Neodiprion lecontei: one gene and its partners. The main gene of each other region encodes a partner of the protein of the gene in region 2 in a complex. Links are inferred from orthologs where the notes say so. Each region holds a gene or a part of one and is shown on either strand. Other genes may lie near its edges.

What was found.
Region 1: U4/U6 small nuclear ribonucleoprotein Prp31 (region 2) and U6 snRNA-associated Sm-like protein LSm8 share a complex: the UniProt entries of both Homo sapiens proteins name them as parts of the U4/U6-U5 tri-snRNP complex. The link is inferred for Neodiprion lecontei from reciprocal best matches to the Homo sapiens genes PRPF31 and LSM8.
Region 3: U4/U6 small nuclear ribonucleoprotein Prp31 (region 2) and U4/U6 small nuclear ribonucleoprotein Prp4 share a complex: the UniProt entries of both Homo sapiens proteins name them as parts of the U4/U6-U5 tri-snRNP complex. The link is inferred for Neodiprion lecontei from reciprocal best matches to the Homo sapiens genes PRPF31 and PRPF4.

Annotation. Positions count from the first base shown.
Region 1 is NC_060261.1:26,109,829-26,112,580, reverse strand, and holds U6 snRNA-associated Sm-like protein LSm8, read left to right. Parts: upstream 1-776; 5' UTR 777-894; coding exon 895-925; intron 926-999; coding exon 1,000-1,040; intron 1,041-1,839; coding exon 1,840-1,967; intron 1,968-2,045; coding exon 2,046-2,136; 3' UTR 2,137-2,157; downstream 2,158-2,752. Other genes in the region: THAP domain-containing protein 1-like, read right to left, coding at 1-106, 323-384. UniProt on the Homo sapiens protein: Plays a role in pre-mRNA splicing as component of the U4/U6-U5 tri-snRNP complex that is involved in spliceosome assembly, and as component of the precatalytic spliceosome (spliceosome B complex).
Region 2 is NC_060263.1:191,815-195,573, reverse strand, and holds U4/U6 small nuclear ribonucleoprotein Prp31, read right to left. Parts: upstream 2,776-3,759; 5' UTR 2,600-2,775; coding exon 2,479-2,599; intron 2,389-2,478; coding exon 2,191-2,388; intron 2,038-2,190; coding exon 1,833-2,037; intron 1,744-1,832; coding exon 1,574-1,743; intron 1,483-1,573; coding exon 1,325-1,482; intron 1,241-1,324; coding exon 950-1,240; intron 858-949; coding exon 633-857; intron 389-632; coding exon 284-388; 3' UTR 151-283; downstream 1-150. Other genes in the region: cell cycle checkpoint protein RAD17, read left to right, coding at 3,053-3,067, 3,157-3,571, 3,692-3,759. UniProt on the Homo sapiens protein: Involved in pre-mRNA splicing as component of the spliceosome. Required for the assembly of the U4/U5/U6 tri-snRNP complex, one of the building blocks of the spliceosome.
Region 3 is NC_060265.1:31,360,799-31,364,557, forward strand, and holds the start of U4/U6 small nuclear ribonucleoprotein Prp4, read right to left. Parts: upstream 2,862-3,759; 5' UTR 1,643-2,861; coding exon 1,111-1,642; intron 1,044-1,110; coding exon 666-1,043; intron 340-665; coding exon 126-339; intron 23-125; coding exon 1-22. Other genes in the region: nuclear receptor-binding factor 2, read right to left, coding at 3,146-3,632. UniProt on the Homo sapiens protein: Plays a role in pre-mRNA splicing as component of the U4/U6-U5 tri-snRNP complex that is involved in spliceosome assembly, and as component of the precatalytic spliceosome (spliceosome B complex).

The DNA of each region.
Region 1 (2,752 bases), on a different chromosome or scaffold from region 2:
TGTAAAATGAGCTGAACACAATGTGCTATTTCGGTTTGGCTTCCAGTCCTCCCTCTTCATTTCTTCTAACCAATGCTGAACGCGCAACACATCTTTCACGGGAAATCTACATATCGAATTATAATTTAATCCCTCAGTCAATAATACCCGAGTTTTCAATTTCAATTATAATAAGATCGGTTCATAATTCAAATATTGTGAATTTTTACTGACAAGATTCGTACGTTATAATACTCGTTAAATATAATTAGTAAATACTTCGTATGCTGACATAACCTCTGCAAGTTATCATTTGCAGAACGCTTCAGCGTTGTATACTCACTTGTGAAATGATCGCCCACGATATTTTGATTGCTTTGTTTTGCAAAAAACGCAGGTACTCATTGTTACCTCAATAATTGTTACTGTAATTTTCCGTCGCAATCGATTATATACACATACATATATCACGTATATATATATATATATATATATATCTGAAGTGACAAGAATCTGTACAAAATGGCTACCGTTCAATTGGCGTGACGGCACCACGCTTAATCCAATCCAGTGTACATATATATCAGTGGGTCAGCGGCACCTTAAACAGCAAAAACTTACGCCGAAAGCGCCAGTAACTTTCAGTGGATTACTATGGGATTACTGCAGATTACTGCTACTGCTACAATTTTTGCAGCCCATTAAATCCCACCTCAAGACATCAGGTTAGCTGTGCGCTTCCTTTTGGTGACTTGCGGTGCTATTTATTTGGCAACTCTGCGATTACACTGATGGCGTCGTTGCAGCGTTAACTGGTGAAGTGGAAAACGCTATAATACAAACAAACAAAACGATTTGTTGAAGTATTTTGCTTCTACTGATTACATTGGCCAACCTGTTCTACCCTTACCAACAATGGCCTCAGGACTTGAAAGTTACGTAAACCGTATCCTTTTTCCTATCCGAAGTTGTATTTATAATTTAATTACATAAAGGTTATGTTTCCTCAATGTTTACTAGATACTGTTTCAATAATAACTTCCGATGGTAGGAACTTTATCGTGAGTATAATATGATCTAGCTTTTAAAAAATTTTTTTCTGTGAAACGAATCGCTGTGGTGACGCAGTCGCGAACCGATAGCGTAGTTATTAGCTCGTGTGTGATTTCGGATAGCAACAGAATATCGTAATTTATTAAATCTGACGAGAGTATGACGAAGCCCAACTTGCTCTGGGAAATAACATAAAAAGTTGGATTTCACTGCACCATCTGATGGAGATGCTTTATACCAAAAAGTGTGTTCCTGTAAAGCTATGAAAATTTACTGGCTGCCAACCACGCTGTTGTCTACACAGTCGTTCTCAGCTGCCTAGGCACTGTGAATCTAGCCTTTTGTAGGACGAAAAATAATTGACTAATTGTATAACTCTTGTACATTAATCAGTCTTAGGAGAATGCTATAATTAATCTTGATTGACAACATTAAATGTCATTTACTTTGGCTATGATCACAGCCTACAAAACACTGATGTGAAAGTGCCACAGTCAGCGCAGTACTACATGCAATGTCTAACCAAAACATCCAAACCTTTGTTGTTTCATACAAGAATAATACCAAGAAGTGTATCCTTGCAATAAGTGGTGATATAATTACAGGAATACATTTCTTCAAATGTGACGTCAAAATTTTTTTTTGGCTATTTGTAGTCAACATTGGATGTAGCATTGTACTGAGTGTAGCATTTTCACATCAATGATGCGCAGGCGTCGATAATAATAAAAATCTTTATTATTTATCTATTCTATTACTCCTATTCATTAACATCATCGAATATTCTGAACTATGTTTATGTTTCAGGGTACATTGAAAGGATTTGATCAGACAATCAATTTAATTCTTGATGAATCACATGAGCGTGTGTACAGCGTGACGCAAGGTGTCGAACAAGTTGTATTAGGTCTTCATATTATCAGAGGAGATAACGTGTATGTACGCACAATAAAATAATGTACATTTTCAAGAATGTCAGTAATTCATGTAAACCAATATTCCTGTATTTACAGAGCAATCGTTGGTGAGCTAGACGATGAGATGGATGCAAGAATTGATCTTTCAGCGATCCGAGCTGAACCACTTAGCTCTGTAGCGCATTAAAATAAATTTAAAAAAATTTTAGACAGCGTTTTTCTGAATACTCCTTACTTTATTCCACATTTTACTAATTGGCAATCGTGTTCTTACAACATATTTGGTTTTTTTTTTCAATGCACTTTTAACTTTAAGGAAATGTGCCTGAATTGAATTGAAACAGGTTATTTATTTTTGATATCAAAATGGAAATAAAGAAAAAACAACTCAATTTTTCTCAGTGCCCTAACATGATTAAGTCATTGGAACTGTAGTTATAACACCGGGAGCACTGTTGGATCAAATAAAAATATGAATAAAACGGTAGGTTAATAAGATACTGCTGATTATTTCAAGTCTCGATCTTGTAATATTACCCACTAATACTTTACATAAATTATAAAACACTTGTATTAAAGTTAATTATAGGCATATTATTCTATAGATAACGATATTAATTTATTTTCGATTGCATGATAATATTATTTGCGATGGAAAAATGAGTAATGCTTATAGCCGAAAAACGATGTTATATAACTATATCTGCATAGATACAAACGTTTTAAATAAATTGTAGCACTGATAATTCTACATAGAATAATTAAGTTTCATCATATTTGATTCAGGAAATATACACTATTCA
Region 2 (3,759 bases):
AAGTCAGCTCAGATGGGCAGGTAAATAGAGCACTCGGTATATCTACTTGAAACATAGGCCGTCGAATAAAATTTATGGAATCGCGAAGAACACTCGCCATCGGATATAAACTAATTTTACTAACTTTGAATAATGCGATTAAGACTGTCGTTATCTTTATCATCATTATTTTCCCTTATATAAAAGACAATTTACTCTTACCTACATACTTATGCTCCAAATGGTAGAATTATATGAGCGCCATTATTTTTAATGTTGACGAAGCGAAGATGATCAACACAAACTATGACTTTTTTATTTTGAGGAAACCTGCAGTGTTTGAAAAGTACTTTGCATTCGCCTCGTTGACTCTCTTCTCTGCTGCTTGAGGATTCACGATTTCCAGACCCTGATAAAGAATTGAGTGTTTATACTTATTGTCCAATTATACAGAAGCGCATAGAAACTAACGAAAAAGAAAAAATAAAAAATAAAAAAGAATCAATAATCAATATAATTGTACTGTTCGTAACTATACTAGACTTTATGAATTGAGTTGTGAGTATAAAAACATGACGGAGACTTGATGTATTTTAACGTTGATAACTTTGAGATTTTTCGTCATCCCAGAGATAAAAAACGTGAGAATTTACCTGTAGCGGGGTGAAGGCAACGCTCGACGCGGTACCGGAAACCTGCTTTTTGACTGTCGTACTGCCGCCCCATTGCTGCTGCTTCTGCAAGTTTTTTTGGAGAGTTTTCGATATCCGCACCTTCGTCTTTTCATCAATTTGAGGTAGTCTGATACGGCCTGTTCCCGTTTTGCCAATAGTCCCTCTGGAGTAACCCAAGTCCTCTTGATAAGCGTCATTCTCAATCTGCGGAGGGAGAAAAATAACGAAATGCAATTTTTCTCAAGATTTCTGAAATCTGCGACGGCCTGATATCTTGAACTGTAGAAAAGACTTACGTCGGCGAAGTTCATCCGGTTCGCGTGCTTTCGAAATTCTGTGATCGCATATCGTTCCTTCATTTTCCGTACACGTTTACCGCCTCGCTTCTTTCGACCAGGGTCGATCGGTTTTGGAAGAGGTTTTATGAATTTTACTGGCGGGGGTTCTTGCAGCTTATCCAATTTTTTTTCTATTTCGTCCCTCAGTGCCTGGCCAATGTGACCATCCGTACTCTCGTGACAAGCATCGACTCGCGCAGCCAGCATACTCTTTGTGGCGACAAGCCTCGCTGCCTTTCGCCGCAAGTCCTGTGAGCACAAAAGCAAGTCCAAGTTGAGCAAAAATCAAGATAGATCAGATTGCAAGGTGGAAGAAATCATTGAAACACTTACAGGCGGTGTGTCCTGCACTATGTCAGAATAATAAATAAATCCGGCATGGGGGAGGGCAGCCACCTGGGAAAATCCAGAAAGCATTTTTTTTTGGGAGCCCAAAACCAGAAGATTGCAAGCTGGCATTTTAGATAGCTTTGTCAAACCGCCAGCAATCCCTGTAACAATTGAAATGGACAAAAACGAATTCAAATTTTCAAGATAATAAATTGATACAGTGACTTTGTTTTCCACAGTTACCTCACTTACCCATGATTTTTGCCGCCGTCGAAGCTCCAACGATTATAGAAAGGTTCGGTGCTATGAAGGCCATTCTGCTTTCAACATATTCGAATATTTTCAGCTTGCAATTATTCAGTTCTACGGCCATATTGCAGGCTTCACAAATTGCCTCTTTTTCCTCTTCAGTCATAAGTTGGCTAATGAATATAACGTAGATTATTGAATGAAAAAAAATTATAGTCAGCAATTGTTTAACCAGGATGCTAAACTTGATTGGAAAATTCACCCTTGAGTAGTAGATGCAGTCACCGACACCACCATGATAGTAGCTTGCGTTAAGAACTGCTGCAGCTTCTCATTGTTCTTAGCTCGATCCAAATCATTCCCTAATTCACAAACTGTCATGACATACTCCAATGGACCAACTACCAGCGACTCCAGCTCAGGAAATCTTTTGGAGTACTTATCCCTTGTAAATCTATGAATGATTGCTGAAAAATTAGGGACCTATACATATTGGCAAAATTTGGTATCCGTTAAAACTTGTCACATTGCCCTAACCAGAACCTACTTTTTGACTGGCAATTACAAAATGAACCACCCATTGAGCGTGTTAAAGCTGTTGCAATCTGCGGGAAACTTACCAATTTCATCGTCGATATCGACGGCAATATTGTTTGCCTCGACGATGAGCTGATACTCAGGGTCGGATTCAACCGGACCTACGATGTCGGCTGACTTTCTTGGTATTTTGCCATAGCTGTCTATGAGAGAAACGACTTTCTGGAGCTGCGGAGAGTCGCGCAATTTTGCGAGTTCTCGAACGGAAGCAACTTTGACCTCTGTAATAAAGTATCGAATTTAATGTGAAGTCTGAATTATCCGGTAACTGATATGTATATGCAACAAAGACCGTGGATAGTAAACCTGACCTTCTTCAATCGTCTTAGCAACGGCTGCAGGTGGAATAAATTCCGGCTCAGCCTCTTCCATAAACTTGTCCGCGTCATCGTTTTCCTCCAAATCGGCCAGCAGCTCGTCAGCCAAAGACATCTTGGATTAATTGGGAAGTTTATTTCAAGAGGTATGTACTTGGAGGATTCTGCAACTTCAACCTCAATTCCTAAACTTCTTCCATCCTAATCTGAGCAACCTTTTTGTTTACGTCTCACCAAGTCTCGCGCGACGTTGCTGTGCTCAACCCGCGAAGTAATACTATTCGTGGCTCAACCGTTTATCATAAACAGAGGTTAATGGTGCCAATAGCCAATGCCCACTGTGTGTATTTAAAAATGGCCGATTTCACGTTGTTCCTGTATTTAGCTACAGATGGCTGCAGAGACAAGCGAATAACTTGAATGAACCAAAGAACGAACATTCTGTCACTTTGAAGTTTGGCGGCAGGTAACAATCAGGAAGTATTTAGATCTAGAACCCAGTTAGGCACGCCCTAAAGTAATTTCGAACCACAGTCCCTGTCCAGGAATTTCCGCAAATGAATCAGACATGTCCGGTTCAAAGGTGAATAAGCATTGAATACAGAAAACAGTCATAATAGATCCAAACTTATCACGTGCCACAGTCATCTCACAAATTTTCAAATTCGTTAGAATTTACAGAAGAATAAAGGTAGTCGGATGTCATGGTCCTTTGACTGTGACGTGAGTGAGCGAGATGTGGTGACACCTGCGAAGCGACCGAAAATAGAAACAGAAGTACCGTCCCTAGACCGAGTGTCACGAACGATTGATATTTATGACAAAAAAACACATATAAACAGCTTACCGGCTCTTCTCAAAGCTTGCGAACCTCAAGAAGCCTCAGAGTTATCTATTAGCCGACAAAAACAAAGAGAAATATACGATTGGTTGGAATATAAAACTATCAAGAGCAAGCCATGCGCTTTGATTCTCTCTGGTCCTTCGGGTTGTGGAAAAACCGTTAGCTTTAAACTACTTGCCAAAGAGAAGGAGTTTGAATGTGTCGAATGGATCACACCGGCTGATCAAGGCGCGGATGAAAATAGTAGGTTGATCAATACTGTCGATAGCATAAAAGACATTTATTTTCAATGATTAAAAATAGGAGAAACACTTGATGTTGATGATAAATACTCCTTAAATAATTTACTACCTCTTCTCATAGATAGATTCACGAGGCAAGGAGACAAATTTCAAGATTTTATGGTCAGAACTACAAGATACGGTTCTCTC
Region 3 (3,759 bases), on a different chromosome or scaffold from region 2:
AACGCTGCCGTCACATTGGAAACTGTGAAAAAAAAACCATTCAGTCAACCATTGTTTCTGTCACCACATCAAGATCGACTGAAAAAATTTCTTCAAGAATAGTAAAACTATATAATAGTATCAACCTTATACAATGTACTGCCTTGGCATGACCCTCTTGATGCAAAACTTCAGCTTGTTGTTCCAGATCCCACAGTCGCCAAGAAGCATCGTGGCAACAGGTTCCTAAAAAGCGACCCGATGGATGAAATGCAATCCTTGATACTCTATGGGGCTCATGACCTTCAACTTCTGCTAACGGCTCTTCACTTTTGCCTCCACCCCACAGCTTAACACTTCCTAGGAGAACATAAAGATAGAGATGACTATATAGATAAATCAGCTAAGCAACAGACCAGTCATAATACAATCTTATAGTTAAGAAGCTGAGCATCCACTCTGTAAGTATGAGCAAGTCAATCACTGACTGATAATATGACCGATTTAAGAATGCATAGATGAATTTATGCATGCAAATGAGCAATACTTTCTCATGTGAATAAGCAGTGTAATTTTGATGTGAACAGATTTCTGGTGAGCTATAAAAAAATCTGCTATCGAATTACAAAATAGATGCATTTCTTCATGAGTCAACAATACATGTCCTTCACCATGTCAATAATTACCGTCTGAAGCACAACTTGCTAGAACACATGTAGGCGACGCATTTTCTCCCAGCATGTCTTCAGTGAGTGTTGCATTCGGATGGAAAACAATACAACTTACATTACAGGTATGGCCCCTGAGGGTTCTGGCAATTGAGCATTCAGGTACAGACCAAATTTTGCAAAGCCCAGACCAGGAAGATGTTGCCAGTAATTTTGAATTCGGACTGAATTGGCAAAATGATATGGGACGGCTGTCTCCAATTTGGGAGCAATAAATGCTGAGAGCCTGTAATTTTTTCAGAAGTTCCTGCCGACGTGCAGTACGTGTAGCCCCTGGAAGCTCTAATTCTTCTCTAGATTTTTCAAGCCGATCTCTTGCCCTGGGAAGTGAATACGCTAAAAAAAAAAACATAACTGTTACAGTGCAAACTTTTGATTTGAATCAATACGTTTTGATACTTACATGCTATCCACGAGCGGGCAATTTGAAGGGAATCTGGTCCTTCGTGGTACCAAGTTGATTCCGCATCTCGTTCTGTCTGATGCAATGGCCGCTCCTCGTCCTCATGTTTTTTTTTAATAGCGTCTTCACCTAAGCTAGCCAATAATTCTCTCAACCTGGACCTTCTGTCTGCTGGGCCTTCACCAAACAAACAAATTGGTTCCCCTAATTGGCGCAGATTGTTTTTCACTTCCGAATCATCGGTGGAAACATTAATCTGCCTGGCTTTTTTTCTCCGCTCAAATTCTTCGAGCAAAGCTTGCCTGTCTTTAGACATCTCATCTTCAAGTTCCATGTATTCATTTGATATGTGCACATTTCCCAGGGCAGCAGCAGTTGTTGGCGTATCTGATGGACTCCTATTATGATCTCTTTCCTCATCTGAAGATTCTGCAGATGTAGCTGTGAGCCGGGCACGTTCAGCTTCCTCAAGGGATCCATAATGCACAGTTTTTTGCTTTTTTACATAAACAAGGTCCTCGTCGTCGGACATTTCAATTATATCCAAGTAAAAAAATGTATAAATACGTTATTTTGTTTAAATACTTCACAAAATGCGGCTTATAACGTTTATAATCTAGGTTAGGCTACGACCATTCACAGAAGTTTTGAATTAACGGTCTACAGAAATGCTATAAAGTAAAGCAAAGTATTCTTTGATTATAGTGATTTCACTTGCTGCAATCAATTCATCTTTTTTCGAACGAATATTAAGTGTTACACAGTCACGTTATTGTAAATTATCATTGACAGCCATACTGGACGCTATTCCAGGCATAGACTACTTTTTCACCGATGGTACAGATCAGTCTAGAGCACGATCGTACTTACAGGTCTGAAAACTCGGGAGGTGGGGGGTCTCCAGCTTTGTCCATAAATTGTATAGTTCTAACATTGGTTTCATGCACGATTCGCGAGGCATCCCGGGCACTGATATATGTATGTATATATACACATGCAAATCAGTGTGATTTGAGTTCTTTGAGAAAGTTGAAAACTGTCGACTTAAAATGTTCAAAATAATTAAGCAAAGTCCCACACAATCTTATGCAGGTAGACTTATATCCCTTATGTCCAGCATTCATACTCGGAGCTATAACCATATTATTGCATTCTTGTCTAATGCCATTGCAATTGATTAACTGTAGTCCATGCTGAGTATTCAATATTCTTGTGAAAGTTTTGTGAAGCAACAAATCATTAGCACTTGCCCTAAGGGGATATAGCCACGAATTAAAAAAGAAGACATTATGAATATCTTAAGGTGCGAGAAGCATGTCTCAGGAAATTTGCAACCACGCTACACTGATTTTTTAAACTCCAACAGGGTAGCGACAATTTTGCTCAAATAAAATTCTAGACTTTTCCCTGACTTTTCCCGTCGAAAAATTAAAAATTCCCTGATCTTTTTCTATAAACCTTAGGTCACTTTAGTTGGCTTTTATGACCAAAAGCTCCAGAAATTATGCACCTGAAATATATAAATTTGGATTCAAGAACAGTGGGGTTTCGTTTCACATAAATAATTACAAATTGAACAATATCATTTCCGAATGTTAGCTTAGCTGAATTTACGAAGCATAGTTGAAATTGAAAACTATTTATAAAAAATTACGTTTTTCACCGTTCTCCATCATAATTCCCTGACTTTGCCCAATAGACGAAATTCTCTGATTATTCTCGGTTTTCCCGGATTCTGGGCACCCTGTCCAATATATGTATATGCACAGTAAAGCCTTAAACAGTGTTTCAACTATGTACGCCACTGACTGTTACCTCAGCAAAGTAAGTAATTGAACCTTTACAACACTTGTATTTTTCGGATGGTCAAAGTGGTAAAATTAAAGAAAAAACGAAACTGGTACACATGTTACTTAAATATTTAATACTATTGTGAGATTATCACTTGATACTTGTTTCCTCTTACTGTGACAAAAATTTGACTGATTTTAAAGAGATAAATATTAAGCACATCCAAGATGCAATATTTTCCCTATTACGAAGTGGCAAAGTCAAAGGACGGCATTTCCAACGGGGCAAGCGGCGGCAATGGGGCAAGACTTATTGAACTATCTTCAGTGTTTGAGTGGAGGGACTCCTTGTCAGGGGCTGTCGCTGCTCTCAATTGTTCAGTGAGTACTTTAATCTGTTGTTGACTAGAGTCGAGCTGGTTCAATAGTGTTCCGATTAACAGTCGCAACTGGCTGTTGACTGTTCGCAGTTCTTCTAGCACAACAGCTGAATCTTTTGGACGTTTTACCGGTATGGTTTCATTTTGCGGTGTCAATATTAGGTCTATCAAACTGTCTTGTTCATCCATTGCTCTGTCGATAGCTTGATGAAGAAACTTGTCATCTTTGTCGACGGTGACAAAGTTCCTCGAACTCAAATTTGCAGAGTGCTTCGCAATCTGATTAGACAGCAGTTCTTTTTCGTGTGTTTCCAATGCTGCTTTGTACTCTTCGTATTGAACCTGCTGCATTCTGTAAAAGTAATCGAAGTGTTCAGATATATCGAATCGCTTTCAAATTCAAAACTAGAAGCTTCCGAAAGTTACAGCTCGACTGAACAAATTTACGAAAAATTACGATTACTTGAGCAACTATAGTC